Daphnia pulex: one gene and its partners. The protein of the gene in region 6 purifies or fractionates together with the protein of the main gene of each other region. This does not show direct contact. Links are inferred from orthologs where the notes say so. Each region holds a gene or a part of one and is shown on either strand. Other genes may lie near its edges.

Region 1 (3,634 bases), on a different chromosome or scaffold from region 6:
TGGGTGTAACGAAATCGTTGACCCCAGTGGCAAAAATCCGATGAAACGACGAAACAGTTGTTGGGGTCCGCGAGATACTTGGAAAGGAGTCTTCCGTAGTGGGTTTCACGTTCCGGAGACAGCGATCCAACCAAAATTGGGACAATGGTAAAATCTCTGTGACTAAAAAAACAGCAAGATATTTGAAAATGAACAACATTGCAATAATTTGCATGTGAAGAATTCTGATTGCAATAAATTCACATACTTTTCAAAAACTTTGGCAATATAAGGCAGATGCATTTCAATGCTATGCTCATCTTCATCTGTTTCCAGATTCATCCACTCAAAGCAGCCAGTACCCTGTAGTTCTTTATACACTAAAAATAATACAGACTAAATATTTTCCCTTACAAAATTGTGAAATATAAATTTACCCTGTGTATCAATGGTGAGATCATAAAATGGAGTGCGGTATTTGGCTACAGATGAGAGGGCACATCCAGACAGCCTTACATGATGGGAAGGCCCTAGAATAAAGACACGTTTCCTGTTCCAACAACATACACACTGATGGGAAAATAAAAGGTAAAAAAATTTTTGAGGCTTATTTTTACACATTTGTAGGATCAATCTGTTTGTATGCAAAACCTGCACAAGATCCGCAATAACGATAGCCAGCATGCCTGTGGTAAAATAATAAACAGCTTTTGTTAATTTTCGCACAGGAGAGACTTTCACAAATTTATATTTTATTGATAGAAGTAAAAAAAAAATAATCATTTAAAAAACTTACGGTGCAATGATAGCCCTTGCTGGTCCATGTGAGAAATTGGCTGCATCTAGCCACCCATCGAGTTGACGACCAAGTTCCTTAGCTAGGAAAGGGTAAATATGATAAACAACTAAAATATGATGTTTTTCCATTTAAACAAAGGAACAAAGATGTGTCAATATTACCCGAATCAGAATACCAGCTGCCAGCGTGGGATGCTTTTCGTACGGACATGTTAAAAATAACCCTTTTTTACGTAATCTTTAATCTAAAGGATATCACCAGTTCTATTCTCGATTAAAATTATTTAAGAATAGTCCTATTTCCTAACCCACCTAGCAGTGTACCACCACTGTACACAATGCAACCAGCCGTCCTTCTCACACAAGTGATTGAGGATTGGACCATTGGGGGGTGAAAGCAGACCGACCGAAAGCAATCAACGATGCGAAAAATTAACTATTACAGAAATCGAAAATTCCAGGAAAAGTTACATGATTTTTATTTTTAAATTATTTTTTAAAAATCCTGATAGATTTTTTAAAGCTTTTTATAGGCATTAAATCAATTTGAATGAAATTTTAAATCAGTGGCAGCTATCGGCCTATCGCCTGAAAGAATCGAGTTATAACGATGTCAACAAAGAATTGACAGAAGGGCACATGCTGATTTGCTTAGTTATACGTACGTAAGACCATCGTTTAATGCTTGTTGATGAAAACAATATTGGTTTCTTGTGTAATAACGGTGAGTAAAACTTTTAAGAGTGTGAAGCTAGTTTTCGCTGTATATAAAATACTTGTTTTCACCGATTTCAGCTCTTTTTCCAAAATGGATTCAGATGACGACTACATTGTCCAACAGTTCAGCGATGAAGGAGGCATCGATTCGAGCGATGACGATGAAATGGTTATGAAAGAATTTTACAAGCAATCAGAGTCTGGGGGAAAAAAGTCGTTGAAAGATTTTCAGGCTGAAATGAACAAGGAATTGGAGCTTCGTGTGGCAACTTATCTTGAGAAAGAAAAAATTCAAGATCCAACAAAATTTGGGAGTGATGTTAAAACAGAAAGCAAGTCAAGAGATCACTACTTTGACACTGATTCTGAAGAAGATGTCGAAACAGAAGATTCAACAGCTCAAGCACAATCTAATATGGAATTATTTTATGATCCTCAAATGGATCTCAAAGATGAATCCTATGTACAAAAGCAGCGAGACATGTACAGAAAGAAATTCAAGAATCAGGCCAAGCCCAAACTTTTACCTAACAGTGATGCGGTGTTGAACTGCCCTGCATGTTTTACAACTTTATGCCATGACTGTCAGAGGTAATTATACGACCTGCTTTTTAATTAATTACATCATAAGACTTTGCTGAATCTCTTGTATTGACTGAATGTTAACCTTGTAGGCATGAAACTATCAAAACACAGTACAGGGCTATGTTTACTTTTCATTGTCAAGTAGACATGAGTGAGGTGATGAAAATTCCTCTGCAGTCACAGAAAAACCGTTCCAAGAAGACGGCGTCAGATGAACCTACTTTCAGTGGGTCTGAAGATGTTTATCATCCGGTACGGTGTTCCACGTGCAACACACATGTGGCTATGTTTGATAGTGATGAAGTGTATCATTTTTTCAATGTCGTTACGAGTCATTGAATAAAGTCCCGTCTGTTATTATTTTTGTCAGTGTGTTGTTAAACTTGTGTGTGCACTTAAAGTTATTGTAATAAGAAAATCAAGAGTCTTCGAGGACAAAAATTTTGTGTAATCGCCACACATCAAAAGGGGGAGGAGAGGAAGTCACAATTTCTTTTCATGTGAAAAGAAAATAAAATAACGGAAGGGTCAGTGGGCAACGGTTCACACACCCAAAAGTAATATTCCGCACTGTGCGAACAAAACATGGGATTTTTTTAACCAAAAAACTAATTAATGATGTGAAACGCTGTAAAACGGGTGGGAATCAAATGATTAAGAGGAATATTTATTCAAAATAATTCCTGTGTGTCTGTGTTATCCAATCGACTCGGCTACCATCAAACCCCTATCCCAGATCCCTATCGAATTCGAAATTGGAAAAGATTTGCACAAAATAGCCTCAAAAAAGGGGAAAACGCAAAAGCATCAACAGTATGGGGGGAACGAAAAATTATACCCACAAAGAAAAACGCGAAAGAAGACGAGACCCAAAAATCAATGCACAAAGATTGAAAAAACGGGAAAGGGAGGAAGTCCACGTCTATTAATTTTTTTTAAGTGGACAAAATTGGTTGTGTTTTATCGAGGAAAGAGGTTGGGCGGATATAACACACCACAAAGAATTTGAAAATAATTTGGTTGTTTCTAGGGCTCGAAGATGAATGTGTCTCAGTCATCGAACGGATGGATTTTTCTAATTTATGGGATAAAAGTTCGGAGGGGAGGAGGAATACAATGAAGAAAAACATTCAAAAATAGAATGAAGAAAACTGGCCGACTCCAAACATAAAAAATTCTTCCTGCTTTTTTTTTCACACTCGGCAGATTCATCTAGAATACTAATTCTATCAAAGAATGATGGGCTTCTTTTTCTGCCATTCTCTCACACCACTACCCAGCTCAGCCGTTGCTCGATTTTGTGTACAGATGGTTCAAAAACAACGAAAATTTAAGGGATGAAAAAGAGCAAAACTAGACACAAACGATGAAGGTTGAACCAAACAAGTTTTTTTTTATATGAACGAAAGGGTAAAAACGAGAGGAAGGGTTCTGGTTGATGGTGAATGTATCGAATTTCTTCTACAGCTGACGAAAAAATCACTTATTTTTTTAAGACAAATAATTCCCCATGTTATGTTTTTTTTTCTTTTCTTAATCTGCCGATTCGTATTCT
Region 2 (4,362 bases), on a different chromosome or scaffold from region 6:
TTTGTAGCCTTCTTTGTCTTTAAATTCTACAACCGGGCCATCAAAACGATTTCTTCTTGAATATTTGTCGTCCTCGCTGAAATAACAAAATAAAATAAGAATAACTGAATATCGTATAAACAAAACACAAAATAATTGTACGCTGCTTTATCTTCTATGGTGTAGCGCTGCGCCTGCAGCTCTTGGGCGGACTTAGAAATAACTATCCTCTTCTTCTCTTCTTTCTCCAGATAGCCTTTGCTCATAGCCAATTTCAAAGCTGCAGCCATTCCCGAGCCGACATCAGGTTCCTCGTCCAGGATAACAGTAGCGTTATCTATTTTACAGAGAGAAAAGAAAAAAATGCAAACACTGACAACAATAAAAGTGACGAGAACACAGTATACATACCCTTTTCATTACGATCGACATCCATGCTGTCGTCGGAACCTTGATCGTTTTCACGTTCCAGAACATTCCATCCACCGCGTTCTTGAAGACGCTCAGCCTCCCTTTTTCGCTCTTCTTTTTCTTGATTTCTTCTGCGTTCTTCTGCCAACTGTCGCTCGAAATCCTATTGCCAAAACAGAAACGCAATTAATTAAAGTCAAAACCAAAAAAAAAAAAACATTCATGCAATGAATTACCATTAACTCATCTTCGTCTTCATCACGATTGCCTGCCATACCATAGGTTGGTATGTCACCAAGAGTACGACAGAATTCTGCTGTGGCATTCAGTATGATACTACTCTTCAGAGGATCCTCTTCCATACCTTCCGTTTCTTCCAAAGGCTCGCGTTTTAATGACCGCGTAATCATGTTCATGTCCCACTGATCAGCCTTCCTTTCTTTTAGTTTATTAGCTTTTAATAGTGCCTGACGTATTTCTTTTTGGGATTCGTCTACAGTAATCTTGAATCCGCTTAAATCTGGCGTTGGATAAACAAGACATAATAAGTAATAATAAAACAATATACTAGTCAAACTAAAATACCTTCTGTGACCTCTTCATCCATTCTCTTCTTTCGAGATCTCGATCCCAAGTCTGACGAAGTTGTTTCTTGCGTTTCTTGAATAAGATCGTCAGCTTTTAAAATGCCGTCGCCTTTGGATCGAACCTTTTTGACGCGACGTTTAACTTTTTTGAAGGAAACCATTTCTTCTGCTGTATAATATTCAGATGCAATTTGGAGCGGTCGCGATTCCAGTGATTCAATTTTCTTCTGTTGCATTTTGAGTTTGTCTTTCATCAACTTTTGGGCTTTCATTTTGGCTTCTTCATCTCCAATTTTACCTAGAATTTTAACATAAATATTTTTGTAAAGATCAACAAAACAAATCTAATATTTTACCTAGGACAAAGCTATCATGTTTTTCTCCTTCTATTTCTGTGTCATATTTAGCAAGCAAGAGCTTTGGTTTGGGAAGGCCCAATTCATCAACTTCTTCCTCTTCATAGGGCTGATATCCCGGTCTCTGTTTCTTGATTTCATTGTTCTTTTTGTAGCGTTCTATATCAACAAGGTTGACATTCACCAAAACATCCCCTTCCTCTTGCAAGATGTTTTGATCTTTAAGAGTCAATACTACTTCTTTCCCTTCAGCTATCATTTCCTAACAAAATAAAGCAACATCAACACAGGTATTCAAATAAAAGTATACGTTGTCGGTGACTTACCCGGTCATGTTCTACTTTTATTCCTCGTAAGTCTCTACTTGTGTATGCTTTTGCTTTTTGTTTAATCAGTTCAGTAGTTACCATATCTCCTACACCAAATGCTTCATCCATTTCTTCAAGCATTTTTGCTCTTTTATTAGCTTCTTCCTTTTCTTTCTGAATCCTTCTTGATTTTTCAACCCAGCTAACAGCATTGTCATCATCATCAGCTGTTGTATGAGCAAGAGTGCGCACTTGTGCAAGCTTTTGTTCTATTTGCCTCTTTTCTCGTCTTTCATCTAGTTTTCGTCTCAACTCTTCTGTGGCTTTCTTTTCACGGAGGTTCTCTAGAGAAATACCACATTTAAATTGTACAAGTAAAGACATTTAAATGAAATCATTACCTGCTGGGACATGAACATCCTTTTTCTCAGTACTGGCTTCAACATTTGAATTTTCTCCTCCAATCTCCAATGGCTTCAAACCAAGTTCAGCTCTTATTCTGTTGGTTTCCTCAATCGAAATGGAAGTATCATTGGTTGAATTAGCAACTGGTCTTTCATCATTCCCTTTTCCTTAAAAAAAATTATTGGTTACTAGTTACTAATAAACATAATTTTGAATACATACCTGTCAACAGTTCTTCGCTCTGAATGTTGAGACTTATATCTTCCTTTATTTGTTTGGATTTGACGGAGGCATAACTTTTTGAATGTGATCTTGACGGAGACCTAGATGGGGAACGATGTCTTCTTTTTCGAAAATTATTATGATCGCGACTTTCTTTTCGGTCCATGTCTCCTTAAGAACTGAAAGAAAGTAGTTTAACTTAGGTGGGAAGTTTTGATTTCTTTAAACATAAAATTTTTTTCAATAGAATTCCTTAAAATATCAAACAATAAAAGTAGGGTACCAGAATCTGTATTCACTTAATGATCTTGCAACAATTTTACTTCAGAACTTGAGAACTGAGAAGCAGACTTCAGCTTTTGCAATATTTATTTTGATGCCGTTGGGTGTTGGTAAATTGCTAAATGCGGGATTGGAAAGCGGGGACAAATACAAATCCATTGATTCCGCAACAGATGGCGTGTTAATCCTCCTATTGAATAAAACTTAAAAAAAGAAAACAGAAGATAAATTTATCCGTAAATCAATAAAGGAAAAACATAATGAAAACATTAAGGCCAGTATAGTTTTTAACTATTTGTTTTACATGTGAAGACTTGTGCGGCAAAACCAAAAGTCCAAAACGAACAATGTCGTTGTCGATTTTTGTTTATACTAAGGGTTCCAAGATTCCGCACCAGGTTCGCTAGTGAGGTAGGCTGATCGCCTCAAAGACTATAGATGTTATTCCAATGAAAAAGTAGTAGTCGAACAAAAAGTCCTGCGCAGTTTACGCCGATGCGCACCACTGCGGCCGATAGCAGAACCAGAGCAATAGATGCCTGGTCGGTTCTCGGCTGTGTTGGCTTCCCTATCCCGGTTTTAGGGTAAACGTATCCCCGATTTTCAGACATTTTAGGGCGGAGCTTGTCAGAATTGTGAAGTAGAAACTGGAAACAGAGCCATCTAGGCTCTCAAAAGTAGCTAAGCGTAGTAGCTGACACACTCACTAGAGCGCTCATTCCAGTTTCCAAATCGGACCACGTTTACCCTGAATATAGGGTCTGTTGGGGTGACCACCCCCTCTCGATTTTCGCAGCGCTAGGTGGCTTATAGGATGAAGCCCGGCATGGCCGAAAAACGAAGAAATTTTTAGAAATTTTTTCAAAAATTTCAATCGTTAATATCTCGGCTTCTGAGCCGAGCATCGAAAAAACATGAAAATTGTTTGAAGAGGTGGGCTATCCCATCATTATGAAACAATTCGAATATTTCCAGGTGCAGCAGTTGACGAGAAAACTGCTGCACAAAAAACGAAAAAAATTCCAAATTTCGGCTACCCCCTCTCAGTTTTTTTAAAAAAATCTCCCAAATTACAAAAGCTAGGCGATTGCGGTTTTCAGCAATCGACTTAGCGAAAAATTTTGCACAAAACCCATCTATTTGTTAATTTTTAGAACCCCTAGCGACGATTTCCGCTAAATCAAAAACGGCCTCTTTGAGTGGCGAATCGCTTGTTGAATCGTTAGGAATATTGCTCAATTCCAGTTCGAAGTTGCCTAATTCCAGTTACGACAAAAACAGCAAGATAGAGTTGCATTTTGGTTCGGAGAAATAAACTGGTAATACTGTGTTGTTTTTTGGTGGTATATCTTCGTTCCATCCAAATATTTCTCTGTGCAGAGTGACTGGCAAGTTCGATTCAAGAACATACAACAACATCCTCAAAGAACATATTCTTCCTTTTTGCAAGATGAAATCAACTAGACATATTGGTGTAGTACATGACTGGTAATCTTATTTTCACATTACAAATTAAATTTCTTGTGTGTGTATGTTACCGAATATTGTTATCAACTGTTTATAGGTTCCCGGTTAACCGCAGCAAAGCTGCTATGAAATTTGTTACTGAACCAGAGGGTAACATTGTCATTCTTGATTTGCCTAAATAATTCGGGGACGCCATACCCGTTGAAACTGTTTGACTGAAAATGATCAATGAGTTCACTCGCGGATTTGTGACGGCTACTAGTGAAGAAGGTTTATTGTGAGAGGATTCTATGATTTGGCAAAAGGTGTGCCACGTAGAATACATTCATCAACTAATTTCAAACA
Region 3 (3,807 bases), on a different chromosome or scaffold from region 6:
AAATGAAGAAAGTTAGACATTCTGCTGTAGTCATACTGAACTGTAGTAAGTCAGGAATCTCTGCCAAAACTTTTTCTTTAGTGATAAGAAGACTTTGGGGGATCTGGACTAGCAGATGGTTAGGAGCTATGTTAGACATAGCCATGAGACCTCGTCCAGTGCTATTAAACAGAGCTGGCTTTGTAACTAAACAATTTTTTGACACAGCATTCCAACCATTCGCACTCATCCATTTACAAAGTTCAACGAATTCTGAATGTGAATCAATCCGAAGTGGGCGAGAATGCACAATTCGAACCAACCTGTTTCGGATTCTAGATGTTCGTCCCATGTTTTTTTATAATGGAAATATATTTAATTTAACACCACAACTTTATACCACATTCATATTCTCACAGTTTTTCAATAAACTCACGGCGGTTTTCTTTTCGAATAGAGATGAAACAATTGGTTAAAATGAAATTTACGGCTGCTTACACTTGACTTCAAATCTTACTGAGTTTACACTTTACACATTTTGTTTACATCAGAGTGATCAGACGACTATGAGTTGACAGTGACAGGAATAGGGACGGGTGGGTTGAATCCGAAGTGGCTAGTCCGCTTTCATATGTATGGTTTGAGATGTAGCCCTTTACGCACCAGGAAGTGCTTGATTTCTAGTACATCTTTTGGATCCTAGGGCAAAATGCACGCCACTAGAGGCGCTATGCCCACGAAGTGAACGAACTAATGCTTGTCGCTTGACAGCTCTTTTTATACTAAATGCTATCCAGCACTCCCTAATGCATTAAAAAGGACGTTGCCTTCCCCCAAGCCTAGAGAGTAGAGACGTAGCAGTAGATACGTCTAAATAATTTTTTTACTTGACATAAATCATTTTCTATGATAGCCTAGCCTTAAGCCCTTAACTTTCCAAATTAATTAAAAAGAAAACCGTTATTCGTACGCAGGTACACTATCCCTTAACGGAAGTGTGAAAAAACAGGTTCGGTTTTAATTGAATAACTGAAACGCTATTCATCACAAAGAGAAAGATTTGAAAATAAATGCGGAACTTGCATTTGAGACAACCAGACGTCAACGAAAAAGAAGTGCGCGTTATTAAGATCTACCTCTAAAATTTATGCGATCTCTTTTGTCGTTAAAGAAAATCGGCCCAAATATTATATATTTTGAGATAAAATCCGCGGGTTAATGTCAATGGATTTATTAGATCCAATTCCTTGTTGTAGTTATTATATACCAGAGAGATGTATATTTTTCCTATATCACTGGCAAAACCAACAGTCAGATTCACGTCGATGTCCGTTAAATTTTTCTTAAATTTTTGGTTTAGTGCTTTAGTCTCAATTTTAAAAAAATTCCGCGATCCTCCCATCAGATACCTTAAAGTAGCAGCGAAGAAGCAACAAGTTTACTAGTTTTGGAGTAGCCTTTTTATTTTGCGTTTATTTGAATTTATTTTGATTCAAATAAAATAATCTGATGGGCTATTTGAATTTGGAAAAATCTCCAAAAAGTCGCTAAAAAGCGGAACAGCCACTTTGGTTCTAGCTCTACTGATCGTATAACGAAGCGAAACATGCTGTCTGCAGTCTCTGCACTCTGACGAACGTGTTTGACTGTTTGCCCACGCCAGTTTTCAGTTTGATTAGTCTGCAACCTGTGAATCGGTATTTTATTATTGTCCTCACTGTGCATAATAATAAGGAAGGTTTAGACAGTGATATTTATATATTACTCATTAGCTTATGGGGATGCTTTGAACATTGAGAATTTCAATACTTTACGTAAAGTTTTTGAACACGTAACCTCGATTCTTGATAATCTTTCTTGTGGTGCATTCAAATTTGTGCCGCAACATGTCATCTAACAATGCCAAGCGAAACATCTATGTCGGTAAGATCAAATAACATATTTCAGTCTTACGAAATGTAATGCTTACTGTGATTCATTTTAACAGGTGGCCTTCCTGATGAGGCAGATGAATCAGTAGTGCGTGCAGCCTTTATTCCTTTCGGAGAAATTGTTAATATAGAAATACCTCCAGATTATGAAAATCATGAAAAACATAGAGGTTTCTCTTTTATTGAGTATGAACTAGCTGAAGATGCTGCTGCCGCAATTGATAACATGGTATTCTCACAATTTCTTACAGTTTATCTAGTAAACAAATATTTAATTACTTGCCATCATGGATGCCTTTCTTTCAGAATGATTCTGAGTTGTTTGGCAAAACAATTACTGTAAACATTGCAAGACCTCGGAAAATTAAGGAAGGATATTCTAGACCAGTTTGGTCAGAGGATTCTTGGTTGCAAAAATATGCTGGAAAGACAGAAGAAAATAAAAATCCAGTGGAGGAAAACAATAAGGAATCAACTGAAGGGAAAGACAATGTTTCTGAATCTGAAACTAAGTCAGCAGTTTCTAAAAAGCCTCGCGGCAACCCTCAAGTGTACATGGATCTTAAAGCTGGAAAAATCAATTTGGGCAGAATAATTATTTTATTGAGAGCTGATGTCGCCCCTAAAACATCTGAAAATTTTCTTGCTCTCTGCACTCATGAAAAAGGTTATGGATTCATGAATTCCAGTTTTCATCGTATTATTCCAGGATTTGTAAGCGGAAAGCTCAGTTTTAATCAATATTTATTTTTATTAACGTTCTTTTGCAAAAGATGTGTCAAGGTGGTGATTTTACTAACGGTGATGGAACCGGTGGTCGATCAATTTTCGGTGGAAACGGGAAATTCGAAGACGAAAATTTTACGTTGAAGCACAACGGTCCTGGTATTCTGTCTATGGCGAATTCAGGCCCAAATTCAAATGGATCCCAATTTTTTCTAACCCTTGACAAAGCAGAATGGTAGGTTTTTTCCCTGTTAAAATATCATAGTTATAATGCTAATAGCACCTTTATGTTTTCAAAGGTTGGATAACAAGCACGTCGTATTTGGTCAACTTCTTGCCGGCCTAGATGTTTTACGTAAAGTGGAGAAGTACGGAACAAAGTCTGGTAAACCGACTGACAAAGTCATTATGTCCGCCTGTGGAGAACTATTGTAACACATGAATAAAAGAAGCTTTTTTTTAACTACATTGTTTAATGACCAATGTCTTGTGCTCATGAAAAATATAAACAAACAAATTGATTGGACTACAGTATATTCCAACCCTCTTCCCTCCCGGAAAAAAACAAAAAAACAAAAGAAAAACATTAACGTCATGGGTCCTTTAATTTTCGTTGAGATTTTCATATTGATTGATCCAGCTATGAATCAAATCTTGGATGTAATTGTCTTGCAGGTCTTTGGGTATCCGCGGTCCCGGATAATTCAATTCTTTATTTAATGCGCCTGTTAGTTCATCTAAACAAGTAAAATAATTGGTATGTTTACAGGAAATTCCCAAGTTTGACATTTTTTAGACACTGTAAGGTATTTGAATGAAAAAAGATATTTACTAATATTCATATTAGGCCACAAATCTTGCTTCTGATTCATAATGGGAATTTCATTGGATATACGGCCAAAAGGTTCCTCCCCAACCATTGCCGCCCGACCAGACTTCGAAAGATATATATATTTTTTTTTAAGTTTAGAAATAATTATCTGATTTTTTACGTCTACTGTGGACTACACACCTCCGTGGAAATATCCTTGCGCCTACCCAAACGAGGAACCGCCTTTGATGCCTTCAGAAAAAAATTAGAGAGACTTCCTTCGTGAGGAAAAGATTCTGAATTCATGTATTCAGCGATGATTCCTTCACCTCGTCGGCCGATTCGAGGAATCTTTTGTCG
Region 4 (4,573 bases), on a different chromosome or scaffold from region 6:
AAATGCAAACTGTTTTTTCTTTATTCCGTCTATAGGAAACGGAGTTGTGGGAAGACAAGAAACAAATCTTGCAGAATGAGATCCGTCAGTTGCAAAAACACAAAGAAGAGCTGGAACAGCTTTTGGATTCTCATAGACCTCAGTGCAAGATGATGAGAAAGACGGGCCATTATCCGTCGAACAACAAAGCACCTCTACTTCCCGCTATGCCTAACCTAATGCCGATACCAAATGTCCAGCAACCCCAACAACAGCAGCAACAACAACAACACTCCCACGTTCAGCAGCAACCAATCAAAGAGGAACGTCACGAAAGCGATGAATCTTCATCAGACGGCGTCGGCTTAATCGAGTTCACCCGACCTACCATAGCACCACGCCCTCGTCCTACAACGCTACCCGTCGCTTCCCCCTTTACAAATGCTCCACCGCGTAATTCTAGTTGGCATGAAATCGCCGGTATCGCAATCACTACACCTTCATCCGGAATCCCTGGATTCAACTTTGACTCGCTCATGGAGGGTGGGACAGGGCTCACTCCCGTTGTGCCTAGCCCATCGTGTGGCACTCAGCAACAACGTAGTAACGCAGGAAGTAATGGAACAACTCTGCCCGTTGATTTGTCCAGTCCTGAGGCTGTAAACCGAAAACTGGTTTCACTTTGATGCGTTTCTTAGTAGATAATTATAATCTGAAGTTACTTTTTTAGGGGAAAAACTGGGTAAAACTTATATGAGGTTGCAAATAGATTTGTATACCTTTTGCCCCCTATATTTATTTTTTAAACAACTGAAAGAAAACAATTGTAGTATGTTACATACTAAAAAAATTCTTCAAGCTCATTCAATCACTATCGATTGACCTATGCAAATCAATGTCTTTAAAAGCCTTAATAATTGCGGGAATCGCTTTTAAAAAATTTCTTCCTACTATTTCTAAGTTTAGTTTTTAATCCAACAGAAACTAACATTGGGTTGTTTGAATTCACACGTGGTTTACCCCTTTGCTCTCCCACAGGACCCTTTTGCATTCCCGTTGCTCCACTAGTCTCGAGCGATTCGATAACGAGCGCCGTTTCTTCTCCTTTTTTTTTGTTAGCTCCCGTCCCTTGGTTTTTTTTCCTACGCAGAATTTATGTAGATTGGCTACAACGAAGTCTATTGCCAATCCATGCCTTTATTTGTTTTCAAATTGTATTTTGTCATAAAATCGAATGCCACCCTTGTATAATCCGCTTACATTGATGCAATAAACAACATTTGATAGCTTCAATTTTGAACGATTCTTTATAATTGCTTATTAAACTCAAATTGAGTTTAATTGAGTTGCTCTATATGAATATATTCGGAAAACCTAGGTTAATGAGTCATCATGAAGCAAGATGATCCAGTCATCCGCATTCCGCTGTTTAAGAAAAAATTATCGTCGTCTGCTAGTAGACATTTCCCACGTGTTGTTTCAATCTCGAGCGCGCTTTCATCTGCGACATTTAGGATTACATTTTTCGAAGCCCACAGAAAATGCCAGAAGTGTGTCGAAAGCAAGTAACTCTTGAAGTAGAGCTATCCCTATTGGATCCTCAACTTAGATCAACAGATCTGACACATTTATGTGATGGTGAGTTTAATTAATGTGACAGTGTAGTACTCAGTTAAAAAATGACATGATTTGACAGCTATAAAATTTTTTAGATCTCAAAGACCTGATTGAACACATCCAAAAAGGAAACTTTGAAGATGTTCTAAAGCACTGTCCAATTAGGATTTTTGGAGCAGGTATTCAACAATCATCAATCAAAGAAGCAGTTGAACGATTTTGCCATGATAATTCAAGTGATGAAACCAGGTAGAATTGATATTATATAAATTGAACAGCAGTAATTCTTATATTATCAATTATTTCAGTTTATTTCAGTTGCTTTGCATTGGGATATCTGCCTTACAGCGCTTTATTCAAAGTAACTGGCTTGGATGCAACAAATGGGAAATGTCATCTGATGATGACATGATAGACAGTGCATCCAAAGAATGCTTAATTATTGATGCAGAATGCTTATTTCCCACCATTAAAGACCTACAATTGCTCTTGGCTGCAAAAACCATCTTATTTGACTTCAAGGAACAGTTCATGCACTTCAAGGTAATTTAAAGTTGTTTAACAAATTGAATAGCAAATTGATTCTCATTGTATTTTATGAAAAGCTTTCAGGTTGGTGGCTTATGAGGTATTTATATGTCCACCAACGAGTCTTAGAGGAGTCATCCCAATTGCTGCATTCTGCATTCCTTGAAAACATTATTGGCAAGATTGATCAGCTTGAAGAATCACTTGGAGGTAACTTGCTTTTCAGCTCTCTGCTGCAGTTGGAGCTCGGTTACACCTACTTGCTGTATGGTGAAGTGCAAAAAACCAAACTTCATTTTGAAAAAGCCAATGAGATTGTTGGTTTTAGATGTGAATGGACAGGTAGGTTACAAAATTTAAAACATAAAAAACACCCCAAATATGTTGAAAATGTTTGTTTACTAAAGGGGCAATGGGGAAAAGGACACAGTATCAACAAACTCCGCTACCCCAATTAACGATCAAAGTTCATTTCAACATGGATGAGGCGCTGCTGACAGATACTACCGAACGAGCAAGTGATCTGCCAAGAGACGTACGATTAGAGGATGACACCCGTTTGAATCACATCGCCTTTATCAACAAAGATGACAATATTCTCCCTGATCTTCCTCCTCTGTACCAATCTCTTTTGATTGCTCATGCGTAAGGAAAATTCTAACTTTTGTTCAGTGGCGTAAATTAAATTTATGGATTCTGTTTTAGAACTCAAATTGAAAAATTCCATCCTAAAGATGACCTTCTTGGAGAAGAACTATCACCTTTACTAAACGTGAGACAAATATTTCCATTTTTTTTACAGTAACATTGAGTTGAAGAATATGTTTTACAGTGTATCTTAGGCTATCCAAAAATCTGGTCTTTTCATGTCAGCTCTTTGGTGATGCGCTCCAAGTTGGAGTCTACGCAGCGCCGCGCTGTTGAACGAGCTCTTTCTCAGTTGCAAGAGCTAGCAGATTCTCTAGCAAAAGTCAGCCCTGATGCACATCGTCGAATTGAATATTTTTATGTTTCGCGAATTCCGCTCGAGTGTGAACTTCAAAGCGAATTGGCCGAAGTTCTTAAAAGTCTTGGAGCAATCAGCAGTGCGTTAGACATTTATATTCGTCTCCAGCTGTGGGATGGTGTTATTGCTTGTTACCAACAACTCGACAGAAAACATAAGGTAAACTCGTGTTGTATCAATAAATCCTCAGTAGCTTGTAAAATTTAACATTTAGGCAGAGGAAATTGTCCGCCAAGAATTGGCAAAAGGTGAAACACCCAAGCTGTGGTGTCTACTTGGAAATTGCACTGATGATGTGACATATTACGAAAAAGCATGGGAATTGTCCAAGCACTCGAGCGCTAGAGCTCAACGAGATTGGGCAATGCACTTTTACAACAAAAAACAGGTCCGATTTTTTTATTATTTACTTTTACGAAGCTTTTTGACTTACATTAAATTTGTCTTTGAATAGCTTCGCGAAGCTATCCCCCACTTTCAAGAGTCCTTGAGAGTCAATGGATTACAGGAAAATATCTGGATTCGATTGGCCTTTTGTGCTATGGATATGGAAGACTGGGAAATTGCCGCCTCTGCATACCGTCGATATTGCGGTCTGAACTCTGAGGTATGTGCTCTAAACGTTCACAAAAAATTAATTAATAAATCGTCAACGTTCACATCTTCTTAGTCGTTTGAGGCTTGGAATAATGTAGCCAAATGTTATGCCAAACTGGGCCAGAAAACTCGGGCTTGGAGAGCTTTGCAAGAAGCTGTCAAGTGTAACTATGAAAATTGGAAGATTTGGGACAATCTAATGATCGTATCCATCGATTGCTGCGAATATGAAGAAGTAAGTTCCTTTAATCGTGTTGCATCTGAACAACATTTTATCGAGTGATCATATTTATAGGCCATACGTTCGTACAACCGTATCCTTGAACTGAAAGAAAAACATGTCGACGTTCAAGTGCTGAAAATATTGGTTCAAGCAATCGTGGAGAACAAAGAAGATAATTACGGCCAAGAAGTCAATCGACTCGGTGCAGTTGTTCAAAAACTTTTTGGCCGCTTAACTTCACAGGTGACCAATGACGCACAAGTTTGGGAAGTGTATGCCGATCTTTTGGCTGGCAACGGAGGTACGGAAACAACGACGGCCTTTCGAGTGGCTCAACTCATGCAAAAATCCTATCGAAGTGCCATCCAGGAAAAGAACTGGGAAAAGGATATTGAATCTTGTACGTTTACTCTTAGGTTGTGTAGAAAGTACGTAGAAAGTTGTCTAGACTTGATGAATAAGGATTCATCCAAAGAAAATTTTCAACTTGCTAGTTCTGCAAAACTAAGTTTAAGGTCTGCTATAAGCCAGGTTAACCTTTGCTATGAGTTGGACATTCCAGAGGAAATTAAAGAAATTCTTGATGCCCTGGAAACCCTACAAAAAGATTTACAAAATAAATT
Region 5 (3,915 bases), on a different chromosome or scaffold from region 6:
CTTCCGTTTGACCTTGTCGGCTGTTGTTTCTATCTCTCTCTCTCTCTCTCCTACCTCCCTCTTTCTTCCCCCTATCGCCTCCCACCTCCCGTAGCCCGCCCTCTCCACCCATTACCCCCCCTCCCTCCGCTTGAGTCGGCCCTGGACACACTACTCAAAGGCAACTCTAAAGGAAGGTGCGGGTCCACCTGAAGTCCTCAGTTGTCCGCCGAACTTCCATTCACGTAGACACAACAGGAGCTCTCCATTTCTCTCTCTCCTCTCTATCTCTCCTGTTTTTCTTTTCCCCACTTCTTTGCCACATCGCCGCCTCTGTGCTATTTTTATATTCGCTTGCACTCTCTCGTCAGGAAGTCTTTTTCCTGTCCCCTACAAGCGATAAATTGTTTTCGTGAATCGCCGTTGATTACTTACCCAATTCCAACATGTCACCAACATGCTCTAAATTGTGCAACTGCTGGCTTTGCCGCACTCGCAGTTAATCTATTTTAGAAAAAAACCTTGTGAATTGGTAAGCGACTATTTTTGGCATCTCCAACTTTTTCAATCAATTACACTAAGCATCGCGCCAGTGGTCCGCCGTTTCTGCGGATATAATTGAATTAGTGATTTAACCGGATGGTCTAGACAATTGATATTCTAACCAGTTTTGTTGTTTGTTTGTTTTGTTTTTCTTCTTCTCCCCATCACAGAATTGTTGATTCAGATGGTGAATTCTTGCTGGTTGAAGCTGCCGATAGTCTTCCGCGTTGGGCCAACCCAGAAACTTGCATCAACAGGGTAAGTTTATTCGCTTAACTCTTTTTTTTGGAATTCCTTGACAAAGTTATAATTTTATCACTCTGAAAATTACAGGTTTTTATCCATGGTGGTCAAGTTCATATAATCAGTATAGCTGATCGTCCCTCTAGTATCACTCCTTTACCGTCAGGCCAGCCTTCTCTGATGGACGCTGTTCACATTGTTCGTTCCATGCCGCACTTGACCATAGCACCCGCTCCCATTCAAGAGCCAATCCACCAGCGCATTGACAAGTAAATTTGAAATTTCTAATTTTGTTTTCGAGTTTAAGGCCATTTCGTAATGGGGACAACTCCCCTGGTTTTTTTTTTGTGTGTGTGTTTTTTCTTTCAACTAATTCAGGTGCGTATCTCAAATCGATTCCAGTCTTCACCGTTGCAATGTATTCGTGCCTGCTGGTGTTGCCGCTTTGCTGCAATCCTATCCGACTCTTGTAGCACCAGCTATTCATGCATTCTGTCAGCGCGATGCCTCTCAACTGCAGGTATTTAAAAAGTGTCTGGTTAAAATGTCAGCTCAAACCCGAGCTCCCGAAGGCAAGGTTTAATCAATTATTTTGTTCCCCCCGTTATGTAACGTAGGTTATCCGCGCCATGCGTTTCTTTCCCCCAGAAACTCGAGTATGGACGTCAGTGACATTCACAAAATGTCTTTATGCTATGCTTGTTCACCGTAACTACCAGCCAGATCACAGGACTGGCTGGTCTTTACCACCGATTGGCGATTCCAAACGAACGGGTTCAGACCTTGGCATGAAACTTGTACGCAATTTCTTTTATCTGATTTTGTCTTTTCTGTTTTGAATTTATTTATGTTTTCAAATCATTTCAGGCTATTGGATTTGAATTACTGGCTAACGAGGAATCCTTACACCAAAAAGACGACGATTATTCTTTGGACATGGATTCACGTTGGAATCGATTCCTAAACACACTGAAAGAAAAAGGATTTTTCCAGGTAAATTTCACTGAAAGTTATTTTGTCAAATTTACAAAGTAATTTGTGTTTTTATTTCTGTTTGTTCTTTTAGGATTTCCTCGATGGTTCTAAACCACATAATGAGCTTATGGAAAAAGCTCGAGAATTTTACATCAATAGTGTGGGAGTAGAAGGACCGGCAAAGAAACCTGTCATTTTAAGACTGATGCAATCTGTTTGTGCCGATGTCGACAAATTCAAGAAAGTAGAATCCCATTTACCTGCGGATGACGGTAAGGTTTCACTTGTAAGACGTTGGTAGAACTGCAACTCATGTTTCGTTGTTATTCAATACAGATGACTCCTGGCTATCTGTTGATCCTGCCACCCTTGATCAAATTCTCGGCGACAAATTTAGTTTGTTGGGAGTCGATGATGATGACGAGGCCAAGGCCGATATCTTGCCTAAACTTGAAACCTTCCTCAATCGGACGTCAGATTATGAAGGTCTTACGCCGGCCAACGGCAGGAAGAAATCCAGAAAGCTTTCTCACCTAGCTCCGCCTTCAAGGAAGACGTCAACGCTCTCAAACGCCTCTGACGCTTCCCAACTTTCTACCAACATTGGTTTCGATCCAGATAGTTTTGCATCCGCAATGCAAGGGATTCTTGGTACGTCAATTTCTTGTAAATTTGTTGGACTTTGAAAATAATAAAAAAAAAATCTTTTGTAGATTTCGCTCTGCCAGAAGACAATTGGGATTTGGAATCAAATTCTTCTTGTTTGAGCAGCTACAGTGAAGAGGAAGAAGGCGACGAGTTGGTAGACAAGGAGATGAACAAATACATGCAAACAATGGATCAAGAATTGTTAACCACGGATGTTCATCGTACTTCCGTAGACAACCCTACTCGCAAGGTAAATTTTTGTGTGTGTGGAATTAACAAACAATTGGTAATAAGCCATCGAATTCGTTTCCAGGAATCCGTCATGAGCGAAGGTTGTGAGAGTTTCAGCGATGTGGAAAACTTTCAACCCGTAAAAATTGATTCTGCTGCTCTTGAATCCCTTCTTGCTTCCTACACAATGCAGCGTGGTGGTCCTGGTCCTGCATCTATTTTGTTGAATCAATTGAATCTTTCTCGGAGCCAGGTATCAGCCAGTAAAAAACAAACCGACTGAAGATTGTGACCTTACGTTTGTTTTTCTCCTCTTTTTCTCTTCACTCTTTCCCTATGTAATTATTATCGATGTCTTTTCATCCGCCCTATTTCCTCTTACCCATGCGATTGGGTGATTTGAGGTTTAATTTATTATTATGATTCGTCTTTTGATAAAAACTTCCGGTTTTTTTTTTCTTTAAAAAATTCGGTCCCTCACCTTTTCGAATCTGACACATTTCTCAAAAGCCAGTCGCTGCTATCCCTCTGTGATACACAACGCTCGGTGGAGGTGGTTTGTATAACGGGACTTTTTTTTTTTTTTTCCATTTCCAGCTCCATTCCTAATACATTTCGGATTTATGTATTCGCCTTCTTTGCGTTCTTCCATGTCTTTTGGCGTTATAGCTGCCATTTGAAAGATACACGAGGATTCACACTGAGCACGTCTTGTAAATTAAGTCGATACAAACGGAACGACTCGTGGGGTCAAATTACTCGTACCCACGCAAGTCACGGTTTGCCTCCAGCCCGTATCCTTGTTCCAGATTTTAAAAATACCTTTTTTTTTTGCTAAGTTGTTGTATGCGCACAAATGTGGAGTCAAAAGGGCAAGGTACAAGCTATTTTAATTCGCGTCTGGCCATTATTTTTATTCTTTTGGCTTTTTGAAGTAGTTCTAATGAATTTGAGTATCGTTAAATTGTTTGCCAACATACCAAAATGTCCAATCATCGAGTTCTCAACGGATTTGATGATAATACAGTTGAGTAAGTTTGAAGGATGCCATTACGCAGTTTCCGCATCAATGGTGCATAACGAAGTCCTTACTTCAGCGGCGACTCCGCGGGGAACATTGAAAAGCCAAATTGGCGGGGTAAGTGAAATACGTAGAATTTTATACATGTTGAACCTCTATGGTGATCAATATTATCAAACGAACTAGCTTTAACAAGTTACATGGAAAATTCCACGAAGAATGTTTTTTAACGCTTTAACAGGTCAAATGTGCCATATCTGTTAAATGCTAACCAC
Region 6 (4,463 bases):
ACTATCCTTATTCTTCGACGTTTTTTTTTTATTGTGTCTTGACGCTGTTGTTGTTGTTGTTTGTTCCATCACCAATCGGCCAATGTCTAAACGTTTTCTTTTTGTCTTTTTTTCGCGTCTAGCCAAAATGAATCCCGACCGATGTCTGAGTTGCCGAATTTTATAATTGGGGTGGAGATTGTTGGCTCGACCAATGTCGAGGTCTAATAACATTCCGTCATCACCACGAGACTTGATTAACAATCAATCATTTCGTAAGTCTAATGTGTCCAGGAGTCCAGTGAACTACAATCGCTTCATCCATGTCGAAGGGTATTGTGTAGTAATGAATGCCGTCCAATAATCATTGCGATCCATTAAGCCTTGACTCCCGACAGACTACACCGCCGTGGCAATGCACACCGGACAGTATAGTGACCCCCCCGCAGACACAAAAAAGATGATGGATAGAAATTTAAAAAGAGAAAAACAAAACAAACCAAAAAAAAAAAAAATCTCAGTCAGAGTCTGTCGGGCTATTGATTGGACACCCCCACGGAAAATTCACGCACGAGGAATAAGGAGGAGGAAGTCGATTGCTGCTGTTGGCCAAGTCTAAATGTGTGCAGCGACATTCAACCGGGTACATTCTATCCGCCTACACAATGGATGACATTGCTGCAAACAACAAAAACAGAACAAGCAACTCGAAGCATCGCCGATAACGGTGATTATATCCCGAATAAAAAAAAAAAAAAGAACCATCAACCGAGAACCCATGGACAGAAGGAGAACTCTAGTTGGGCTGGGCTGGGCTGGTCTACATCACCGAATGGCCGGCATTGATTTTGTCGATCTGCCCATATCATCCCAAGTATTTTTTGGGTTTTTTTTTTGTGATTTCCTTTTGGCAACAACAAACCAACAAGCGAATATATAAATCGGGGTCGCTCGTCTGTAGACTCGTCTGCAGATAAAGACGTCTAATATATCTTTCCATACGAGTCGGCAGCAATAAATCATATAAGGGCACTTGCCCATCCAGGGGGCTTCCATCGCCCGGCAAAACTGAAATTCTGCACTGTGTGCGTAGACATCAGACGACTGCTGAGATTTATTCCGTTATTCAATTCAAAAACATGACGGCATTTTACTCCTTATTTCGCCCGCTTTGATTGATATTATCGCCCGTGTTCGACTGACTTTGTTTCTCCTACAAAATGTTTTTTTCCGTCGTGGACCCGACCTGATAGCGACTGACACGTCATCTATATAAATTCACAACTAGATTTCAGTTTCCAGTGCACAAGCAAAAAAACAGCGCCAGAAACATTTCCTTATTCGGGTAGGGAAAACCCCGCCCTCAACGGGATTCCCATTTGCATTTTATTACGCTGTGAATTTTTTTTTTCTCTTTTATTTTATTTTTATTTATTTATTTTTATTTTTATTTATTTTATTCATTTTATTTTATTTTCATTTTTTTTGCCACTCATAATCCACCTGCTAGCTGGTAGATGGCGCTGTTCTTAAATTCAGATTTCATTGGCACCCGCTAGATGTCGCTAGTGTCGCTCGTTTTGAGCGCGTGCAAATCTGTACGCATAGTAAACGCATTTTCTTGAAAGGCCCGGCTTTTCTGAAATTCCCTTTTGAAACAGCTTTATAACTGTGAGTGTTGGGTTAAGCCGAATACCGATCGACAACATCCAAAGTATCTGCCCAATTTACAGACAGCAAACGACTCAGTTGACTGTCAAGAATGGACGCCGATCTCTACGACGAATTCGGCAATTACATTGGACCCGAACTCGAGTCAGATGAAGACGAAAATGAGGAAGGAGACGAGGCTGATCACGATGACGAAGCCGAAGACTATGGTGACAATGATTCCGAAGAGGCCATGGATCAAACGGTGGTTGATGGCGACGCACAGATGGCCATTGTTTTGCATGAAGACAAAAAATACTATCCATCAGCGTTGGAGGTTTACGGACCTGGTGTGGAGACACTGGTGCAGGAAGAAGATGCTCAGCCCTTGACTGAACCCATCATCGCACCTGTCAAACGAAGGAAGTTTCAGGTACCACAAATTGTTTCGCTGCCATATTTCATTTTGTTGATTAACCTGTTTCCACCCATTTTCATTAGGTTGCTGAGCAAGAACTCCCTGAAACCACGTATAACATGGAGTTTTTGGCTGATCTCATGGACTCTGCAGAACTTATTCGTTCAGTGGCCCTTGTTGGTCATTTGCACCATGGCAAGACTTCCTTCATGGATTGTCTGCTCATGCAAACACACCCAGATCTCCAGACGGGAAAACCTGGCAGTGGAGAGGAGAAGCCTGTCAGATACACAGACACACTCTTTACTGAACAAGAGAGAGGTGTTTCCATCAAAGCGACGCCCATTACCGTGGTCATGCCCGACCTGAACGAAAAATCCTTCCTCCTCAACATGTTCGACACACCTGGTAAATTACAGTTTTCCAACTTGCAAAATGGGGGGGAAAAATGTATTTAATCGATTTTGATGTTTCTTAAAGGTCACGTCAACTTCTCAGATGAAGTCACGGCTGCCCTGAGACTTTGCGATGGTATCGTCCTCTTTGTCGACGCTGTCGAGGGTGTCATGCTCAACACGGAACGAATCTTGAAGCACGCCGTCCAGGTAATTAAAAAAAAAAAAAAACTTCAACTTGGTTATTCCAAGAATTTCTTTTTAACCCTGTCCTTTCATAGGAGAAAATGGCCATCACAGTTTGCATCAACAAAATCGATCGACTCATTTTGGAGCTCAAGCTGCCACCTCAGGACGCATATTACAAGTTGCGCTACATCATTGAAGAGATCAACGGTCTTTTGGGCCTGTACAGCGACGAAGAGAATCCAAAATTCGTGTCGCCCTTGTTGGGCAACGTCTGCTTTGCTTCTGCCCAGTTCTCCGTTTGCTTCACCCTTAAATCCTTCGCCAAACTTTACAGTGACACGTACGCACACGTCCACAATGGCAATGACGGTCTTAAATGAAACTTCATTTTCTTTCATTTTAGATACGGATCCGATATCAACGACAACGAGTTAGCACGTCGTCTGTGGGGTGACATTTACTTCAACAGCAAGACGAGAAAGTTCACCAAAAAGCCGCCACATAGCTCGGCTCAGCGAAGTTTCATCGAGTTCATTTTAGAGCCGTTGTACAAAATCTTTGCCCAGGCATGTACCAAGGACAACTTTGCAGTTAATTTGAACAGTTGATTCATTTCCAATATTTTTTGCTTGTTTAGGTTGTGGGAGATTTGGATTCGAGTCTACCGCAGTTGCTGGACGAACTTGGCATTCGCCTGACTGTCGAGGAACAGCGGTTAAACACTCGCCCCTTGTTGAGACTGGTCTGCAGTCGCTACCTGGGCACTTTCAGCGGTATGTCAATTAAAATGTATGTTGAATTGAAGCAACGGTCTTTAAATGTCAATGTTTGACTGGTGTGTGTAGGTTTCGTGGAAATGTGCGTCAAACACGTCCCGTCGCCCGTAACGGCTGCTCGCACCAAAGTGGAACACATTTACACAGGTCCCCTGGAGTCCATCCTGGGCGAAGACATGGTCAACTGTGATCCCAACGGCCAACTGGTTGTCCATACTACCAAACAGTATCCCACAGAGGACTGCACTGGATTCTATGTCCTGGGTCGTGTCCTGAGTGGGACCCTTCACGCTCACCAGAACGTCCGACTCCTGGGTGAAAACTATTCGCTCAATGACGAAGAAGATTCACGTGTGTTGACGATCGGTCGACTTTGGATATACGAGGCCCGTTACAAGATCGAAGTCAATAGAGTAACGGCAGGCAGTTGGGTCTTGATCGAAGGGATCGATGCCTCAGTGGTCAAGACGTCGACCATCGTCCAGGTTCACGTCGACGAGGACTTGTACATTTGCCGACCCTTGAAATTCAACACGCAATCCATCATCAAAATTGCCGTTGAGCCGGTGAATCCCAGCGAATTGCCCAAGATGTTGGACGGTCTGCGTAAGGTTAACAAATCTTACCCGTTGCTCTCGACGCGAGTGGAGGAGTCGGGCGAGCACGTTATTCTTGGAACAGGCGAACTTTACCTGGACTGTGTCATGCACGATCTCAGGAAAATGTACTCGGAAATCGACATTAAAGGTTTGCCATTCATTTCTTCCCAACTGTTAATTCTTCTAATTTAACTAATTCACTTTGGTTTTTCTTGTAGTTGCTGATCCTGTGGTGTCTTTTTGCGAAACGGTCGTGGAAACGTCCTCACTGAAATGTTTTGCCGAAACTCCAAACAAAAAGAATAAAATCACAATGATTGCGGAACCCCTGGAGAAAGGTTTGGCCGAAGATATTGAAAATGGGGTCGTCCAAATCAATTGGAACAAGTAAAAAAGACTTGGAATTCTTTTTCAGAGAGTAGTTGAATAATTATTTCCTAATTTTCCAAAACGCAGG
Region 7 (4,672 bases), on a different chromosome or scaffold from region 6:
GTAAACATACGGAGTGGGTTCGAAAAACACTTTTAAATTAGAATATTTTTGTCGAGGTGGGTGTATCTTGGAAAAGGTTTTAGAAAACGTTAAAAAGAGACAGTGTTTTAGCTCTCCCCCCTTTTTTATTCTACAGGGCAGTTTTGGGTTTTGGGTTTCAAGACATGTCACGATCTCCGTGTGTCGCAGCTGCTAGTTTGAAAAGCTTTTTACCTATTAAAGATTTTAAAAGTCCCAATCATTTGAAGTTGAGTCCAGTTCCAGCTGGTCACACTCAATATCACACCTTGTTATCACCTTTTCCACAGTGCAACCCCCAATCCACACCTTCATTATCCCCATCATCTAGCCATTTTAACTTCAATAGTCCAAATAATTTTTTTCAGAAACGAGATAGTATTTCACTTTCTGTTGATAGTCCCCATAGGCTGCTTTTTGCTTCAAAAATTAAGACCACTCTCAACTCATCTAATGTACTAGGACGGGGAAGGTTTGGTCAAGTTGTGTTGGCAAAGTATAAAGGTAATATGATCGCTTTATCAAAGTTGAAAGCCTTAAAAACCAGTACTGTAATTTAATTTTCCAGATGCACAAGTTGCTGTTAAAATAATAAAGAATGCTGCAAAAGAACAGGTCAATGAAATAAATGGGGAAAAGCTGTCACATCCCAACATAATCAGCACTCTTAAAATAGAGAAAGTTGATGATGATGTTCTAATTTTAATGGAACCTTGGGGTTCCCTTAACCTTCAACAACTTCTTAGCATGTCTTTGAAAATTCCATGGGGAGACATTCTCAGGTATTTAATCAGACTTTCCCCAAATTACAATTAGATTAATGGTATACTTTTAATTTACAGCTATTCGACACAATTAGCCATGGCTCTTGAATATTGTCATGCAAATGGAGTGCTGCACCTTGATGTGAAACCTGCTAATATTATGGTGAAAAGTGAAAAATGGATTAAATTGGGAGACTTTGGAAATTCTGCAAACATTCATCAGCTTGATTTATTCCAGGTTAGTTTTATCTTGTCATATCTTGATGTGATTGAAAATGGATGTAATTTGTGTTCTATTTAATTTCTGTTTCAGTACCAACAAAGAGTAGGTACAGTTTCTTACTGTTCCCCAGAAATACTTCAAGGGGATGTTCCCTCAACAAAATCTGATGTCTATTCCTATGGTATAACATTATGGCAATTTGAACACAATCAAATACCTTTTTCTGACTTGGACTGGCCCACTGTAGCATACCTGGTATTTCATTTTTAGACTTTTTATGTGATTCATTGTTAAGTTTCTTGTTGGTTATTAGGTTGTTGCCAAGGATGAAAGACCAGTCCTCAATAGTAATTGTAATGAAGAAGAAACAACATTTAGTAAGCTTTATCAAAGCTGTTGGCAACCAAAACCTGAAGACCGCCCAACTATGTCAGAAATTGTAAATATTCTCAAGGATTTGAGTGAATGATGTATTGTCTTTCGAAAATTAAAGAAAAATTCATGAATGAGCTTCTGGTCCCTCTCCACCAGGAACTAACTAAATATCAATCATGAAATGGCTATTAGTTCAAGTAATAAGACAATAAATTATGTTGCTATAGCATCCTTACCATAGTTATGTTGTTTCCATTCAACAGGATCTGGTCTAGCTTAGTCACACGTCTTCCTTCTGGAGTAGATTCAAATTCTGACACATCTTCCAGCACCATGTTGACAAAATCGTCGAACCCTAGCAAAGTTCCCACTATTTCCTTGTCATTCTTCATGATAATGTGGATCCTTGAACCAATGCATTTATCAACCAACTCCTGTATACCACACCAAATTTAGGTGAAGATTTAATTGCATAACTTTAAAAAAGTATTACCAGAGGTAAAAGCGTGGGTACTGGTGCAGCCATTTTATTTAATTAGAGGGAAAAAATGAAATGTCTTCCACGCCAACTTCGAAAATTTGTAAGTTAAGTTTGGTAAAATCTATTGCACTCCGGAGTCCGGAGCGCTCTAGTGTCAAAAGTGGCTATTGCACTCCGGAGTCCGGAGTCCTCTAGCGTCAAAAGTGGCTATTGCACTCCGGAATGGAAATATGTAGTACTTTCATTTGGCGACCGATGGCATTCTGTTTCTGTGTTTTGAAATTTGAATGGTTTAGATTTTTTTTCTTTGGAAATTCAAATAAAATGTATTTATAACAATCATATATATTTGAATATCACTAATAAATAAAAATAGTCAGTGTATAGAAAGAACTTTTATTTCGTTATCGTTAACTTAGCTAGAGTTTAGAGTACAATGTCCAACATTGAATCAGTACCTTAAAATTCAAATTGTAAATATAGTTAAGTGTCTTGCAACAGGAATAAAGTAGAATTTATAAACATTTCAATTCAGGGTGATATTTCTTGTTAACCATTTCAATTTCTCGCTCTATTTGCTCAGTGTAAGGATTTATACACGTTATAAACGCATATAGTGAGTCACCCTTTGTCGCCCCTTACCTGCCTGAAAGTCGAGCCGGAGTTCTCAGAACGGGGCTTCGAGGGGTTCTTTGTGACCTTCAAACGCATTGACCAGCAACTCACTATTTCTGCTGATTTACACGTAACGTGTGATTCAGCTGATTTCACGCTATAAACCATGCAATGCCCGTGTCTCTTATTCCAATAAACTAACAGCTAAACACGTCTTTCATATCTTGAAACAAAACAATACAAAACTAAGTTAACATGCAGATGCAGTTTACTTTATTATAGTGAGAATATCAAAAGACATTTTAACTGAATTGTGAGTGCGAAAAAATACTTGGTATTTTCGTGTTCAGTTTCACTCGGTGCTTTGTCATCACATGAATGAACTGACAATGAAAAAGTAATTGATTTTAAGGGGAAAGAATTAGCACATGGTGCGGCGTCAATCAAAGATCCTTTAAGAGCGGAATATGGAAGCGCCTTGTCCTTTGATGATGGGTTGCTTTAGGTTCCAACGCCGCGGAGATAATCATAAACAAAGTTAACCACTCCTCTTTTTGACTACCAGTATTTTGTAACATCTATCTCCCTTATGTTGTAAAAAGAATATTCCTCGACGATGACGAATGGTTCTGTCACGAATGTAAAAAATAAATACCTTATTATGTAGCCTCATGTATACAAACCCAGGATTGAACTGATTATGTGAAATATATTGTGTTAAATTTGAGTAGAAAGTAAACCTACTGTTTTTGTTTATACACACTCAACTTCTTTCATTATTAAATGATATCGAAGAACATTCTTCTTATGTGATATAAAGTCATGATCAGGTCGTAAACGTAAAGAAATAGCGAAAACCCCTAATCCTGCAAACCTTAAAACTTTTATAGATGAAATAAGTAAAATCTCACTTTTCAAACATGATCCTTTTTTTTTCAAAATGTCAAACACTAATTTCTTGAAGGCATCAGGTTTGTTTTTCATTTGGGGAAATCTCAAAAACTCATCACATGCTGTTGACCTGTTGTACGATATTGTAACAAAGGTGAAACCACAGATCAGTGCATAACTCCCTCTTCTTTCACACTATAATTGAAGCTTGAATGAAAGACAGACTCTGAACTCAGGCTGAATGGTATTTATGTTAAACACAGAATCAGTCGTTATTTGCCATTCGTCGCCATAAATTTCCGGAGTGCAATAGCCACTTTTGACGCTAGAGGACTCCGGACTCCGGAGTGCAATAGCCACTTTTGACACTAGAGCGCTCCGGACCCCGGAGTGCAATAGGCGTGACCGTTAAGTTTTGACAGCAGACGAAAACTGAAAACTGAGCTTCAGCTGTCGTTGCTAGGTAACCTTGGACGCTCATTTGTCAGCTCGTAGTCTGCTACAAAGCTGTAACGACCAACATAACGTGTGCGTTCGATTTAAAATGCCGACATGGAATCAGATTCAAGGGCAATTGAGGCATCCTAATAATCCGGTGGTGTTCTTGGATGTAACAGTTGGATCAACAGTAAGATTTTATATAGCTTATTCCATTTTCTTAAACATTTGTTTTAATTATAGTGGTTGAAAACAGGATATTGGACGTATCATCATAGAGCTGTTTGCTGATGTTGTACCAAGGACAGCTGAGAATTTTCGGCAATTCTGCACAGGAGAATTCAAACGAGACGGGTTGCCAACTGGTTTTAAAGGGACATCTTTTCATCGGATCATTAAGGATTTCATGATTCAAGGAGGAGATTTTCTTAATGTAAGTAAAATGTTTAGTAAAACATTTTTTAGTTTGGTTTACAACCTGTTAATTCCTTAACATAGGGAGATGGAACTGGTTGCTTAAGTATTTATGGTGATACTTTCAATGATGAAAATTTCAACTTGAAGCATGATTCCCCTGGACTTCTATCTATGGTAATTAGTTTGCTCAGATCTTAATTAACTTTGAACTTCACTATTTATGTCTGAAAATGATTTTGTTACAGGCAAATAGTGGACGAGACACAAATGGCTCTCAGTTCTTCATAACTTGCTCCAAGTGTGATTTCTTGGATGGCAAGCATGTTGTATTTGGCAGAGTTCTAGATGGTTTACTCGTGGTGAGGAAAATTGAGAATGTCCCTACTGGGCCGAACAACAAACCCAAGATTCCAGTGTCTGTATCCCAATGTGGTGAGATGTAACAAAAAA

The links.
Region 1: the proteins of 116 kDa U5 small nuclear ribonucleoprotein component-like (region 6) and E2F-associated phosphoprotein-like purify together in Homo sapiens (affinity purification with mass spectrometry; 4 studies listed by BioGRID and IntAct, counting the BioPlex papers as one, with this or other methods). This does not show direct contact. The link is inferred for Daphnia pulex from reciprocal best matches to the Homo sapiens genes EFTUD2 and EAPP.
Region 2: the proteins of 116 kDa U5 small nuclear ribonucleoprotein component-like (region 6) and U4/U6.U5 tri-snRNP-associated protein 1-like purify together in Homo sapiens (affinity purification with mass spectrometry; 4 studies listed by BioGRID and IntAct, with this or other methods). This does not show direct contact. The link is inferred for Daphnia pulex from reciprocal best matches to the Homo sapiens genes EFTUD2 and SART1.
Region 3: the proteins of 116 kDa U5 small nuclear ribonucleoprotein component-like (region 6) and peptidyl-prolyl cis-trans isomerase E-like purify together in Homo sapiens (affinity purification with mass spectrometry; 3 studies listed by BioGRID and IntAct, with this or other methods). This does not show direct contact. The link is inferred for Daphnia pulex from reciprocal best matches to the Homo sapiens genes EFTUD2 and PPIE.
Region 4: the proteins of 116 kDa U5 small nuclear ribonucleoprotein component-like (region 6) and tetratricopeptide repeat protein 27-like purify together in Homo sapiens (affinity purification with mass spectrometry; 5 studies listed by BioGRID and IntAct, with this or other methods). This does not show direct contact. The link is inferred for Daphnia pulex from reciprocal best matches to the Homo sapiens genes EFTUD2 and TTC27.
Region 5: the proteins of 116 kDa U5 small nuclear ribonucleoprotein component-like (region 6) and protein ecdysoneless-like purify together in Homo sapiens (affinity purification with mass spectrometry; 5 studies listed by BioGRID and IntAct, with this or other methods). This does not show direct contact. The link is inferred for Daphnia pulex from reciprocal best matches to the Homo sapiens genes EFTUD2 and ECD.
Region 7: the proteins of 116 kDa U5 small nuclear ribonucleoprotein component-like (region 6) and peptidyl-prolyl cis-trans isomerase H-like purify together in Homo sapiens (affinity purification with mass spectrometry; 3 studies listed by BioGRID and IntAct, with this or other methods). This does not show direct contact. The link is inferred for Daphnia pulex from reciprocal best matches to the Homo sapiens genes EFTUD2 and PPIH.

The regions. Positions count from the first base shown.
Region 1 is NC_060018.1:7,627,782-7,631,415, reverse strand, and holds E2F-associated phosphoprotein-like, read left to right. Parts: upstream 1-1,356; 5' UTR 1,357-1,501; intron 1,502-1,572; 5' UTR 1,573-1,585; coding exon 1,586-2,085; intron 2,086-2,168; coding exon 2,169-2,418; 3' UTR 2,419-2,855; downstream 2,856-3,634. Other genes in the region: protein MEMO1-like, read right to left, coding at 1-162, 248-359, 417-529, 597-665, 776-857, 940-988. UniProt on the Homo sapiens protein: May play an important role in the fine-tuning of both major E2F1 activities, the regulation of the cell-cycle and the induction of apoptosis. Promotes S-phase entry, and inhibits p14(ARP) expression.
Region 2 is NC_060026.1:10,447,375-10,451,736, reverse strand, and holds the start of U4/U6.U5 tri-snRNP-associated protein 1-like, read right to left. Parts: upstream 2,881-4,362; 5' UTR 2,855-2,880; intron 2,754-2,854; 5' UTR 2,552-2,753; intron 2,471-2,551; exon of another isoform or gene 2,448-2,470; 5' UTR 2,435-2,447; coding exon 2,269-2,434; intron 2,214-2,268; coding exon 2,043-2,213; intron 1,986-2,042; coding exon 1,660-1,985; intron 1,596-1,659; coding exon 1,334-1,595; intron 1,276-1,333; coding exon 976-1,275; intron 911-975; coding exon 627-910; intron 554-626; coding exon 391-553; intron 317-390; coding exon 142-316; intron 77-141; coding exon 1-76. UniProt on the Homo sapiens protein: Plays a role in mRNA splicing as a component of the U4/U6-U5 tri-snRNP, one of the building blocks of the spliceosome. May also bind to DNA.
Region 3 is NC_060020.1:8,629,373-8,633,179, forward strand, and holds peptidyl-prolyl cis-trans isomerase E-like, read left to right. Parts: upstream 1-1,566; 5' UTR 1,567-1,865; coding exon 1,866-1,902; intron 1,903-1,966; coding exon 1,967-2,139; intron 2,140-2,216; coding exon 2,217-2,624; intron 2,625-2,683; coding exon 2,684-2,871; intron 2,872-2,935; coding exon 2,936-3,071; 3' UTR 3,072-3,157; downstream 3,158-3,807. Other genes in the region: uncharacterized protein LOC124191929, read right to left, coding at 3,240-3,373, 3,469-3,571, 3,649-3,807. UniProt on the Homo sapiens protein: Involved in pre-mRNA splicing as component of the spliceosome. Combines RNA-binding and PPIase activities.
Region 4 is NC_060020.1:292,995-297,567, reverse strand, and holds the start of tetratricopeptide repeat protein 27-like, read left to right. Parts: upstream 1-1,415; 5' UTR 1,416-1,520; coding exon 1,521-1,617; intron 1,618-1,691; coding exon 1,692-1,845; intron 1,846-1,904; coding exon 1,905-2,139; intron 2,140-2,201; coding exon 2,202-2,466; intron 2,467-2,531; coding exon 2,532-2,769; intron 2,770-2,829; coding exon 2,830-2,896; intron 2,897-2,956; coding exon 2,957-3,289; intron 3,290-3,344; coding exon 3,345-3,518; intron 3,519-3,584; coding exon 3,585-3,737; intron 3,738-3,800; coding exon 3,801-3,962; intron 3,963-4,022; coding exon 4,023-4,573. Other genes in the region: transcription factor kayak-like, read left to right, coding at 36-665.
Region 5 is NC_060018.1:5,231,123-5,235,037, forward strand, and holds the end of protein ecdysoneless-like, read left to right. Parts: intron 1-692; coding exon 693-780; intron 781-855; coding exon 856-1,034; intron 1,035-1,143; coding exon 1,144-1,285; intron 1,286-1,382; coding exon 1,383-1,562; intron 1,563-1,632; coding exon 1,633-1,758; intron 1,759-1,831; coding exon 1,832-2,012; intron 2,013-2,076; coding exon 2,077-2,391; intron 2,392-2,453; coding exon 2,454-2,638; intron 2,639-2,701; coding exon 2,702-2,902; 3' UTR 2,903-3,323; downstream 3,324-3,915. UniProt on the Homo sapiens protein: Regulator of p53/TP53 stability and function. Inhibits MDM2-mediated degradation of p53/TP53 possibly by cooperating in part with TXNIP. May be involved transcriptional regulation. In vitro has intrinsic transactivation activity enhanced by EP300.
Region 6 is NC_060028.1:8,367,460-8,371,922, forward strand, and holds the start of 116 kDa U5 small nuclear ribonucleoprotein component-like, read left to right. Parts: upstream 1-1,521; 5' UTR 1,522-1,741; coding exon 1,742-2,062; intron 2,063-2,130; coding exon 2,131-2,455; intron 2,456-2,527; coding exon 2,528-2,652; intron 2,653-2,723; coding exon 2,724-2,971; intron 2,972-3,034; coding exon 3,035-3,197; intron 3,198-3,268; coding exon 3,269-3,404; intron 3,405-3,476; coding exon 3,477-4,154; intron 4,155-4,224; coding exon 4,225-4,393; intron 4,394-4,462; coding exon 4,463-4,463. UniProt on the Homo sapiens protein: Required for pre-mRNA splicing as component of the spliceosome, including pre-catalytic, catalytic and post-catalytic spliceosomal complexes. Component of the U5 snRNP and the U4/U6-U5 tri-snRNP complex, a building block of the spliceosome.
Region 7 is NC_060021.1:7,373,998-7,378,669, reverse strand, and holds the start of peptidyl-prolyl cis-trans isomerase H-like, read left to right. Parts: upstream 1-1,814; 5' UTR 1,815-1,873; coding exon of another isoform or gene 1,874-1,906; 5' UTR 1,907-1,928; coding exon 1,929-1,961; exon of another isoform or gene 1,962-1,993; intron 1,994-2,732; exon of another isoform or gene 2,733-3,105; intron 3,106-3,220; exon of another isoform or gene 3,221-3,783; intron 3,784-3,830; coding exon 3,831-3,995; intron 3,996-4,061; coding exon 4,062-4,238; intron 4,239-4,303; coding exon 4,304-4,396; intron 4,397-4,467; coding exon 4,468-4,665; 3' UTR 4,666-4,672. Other genes in the region: serine/threonine-protein kinase mos-like, read left to right, coding at 165-522, 587-800, 861-1,020, 1,096-1,260, 1,319-1,474; U6 snRNA-associated Sm-like protein LSm5, read right to left, coding at 1,505-1,543, 1,617-1,814, 1,874-1,906. UniProt on the Homo sapiens protein: PPIase that catalyzes the cis-trans isomerization of proline imidic peptide bonds in oligopeptides and may therefore assist protein folding. Participates in pre-mRNA splicing.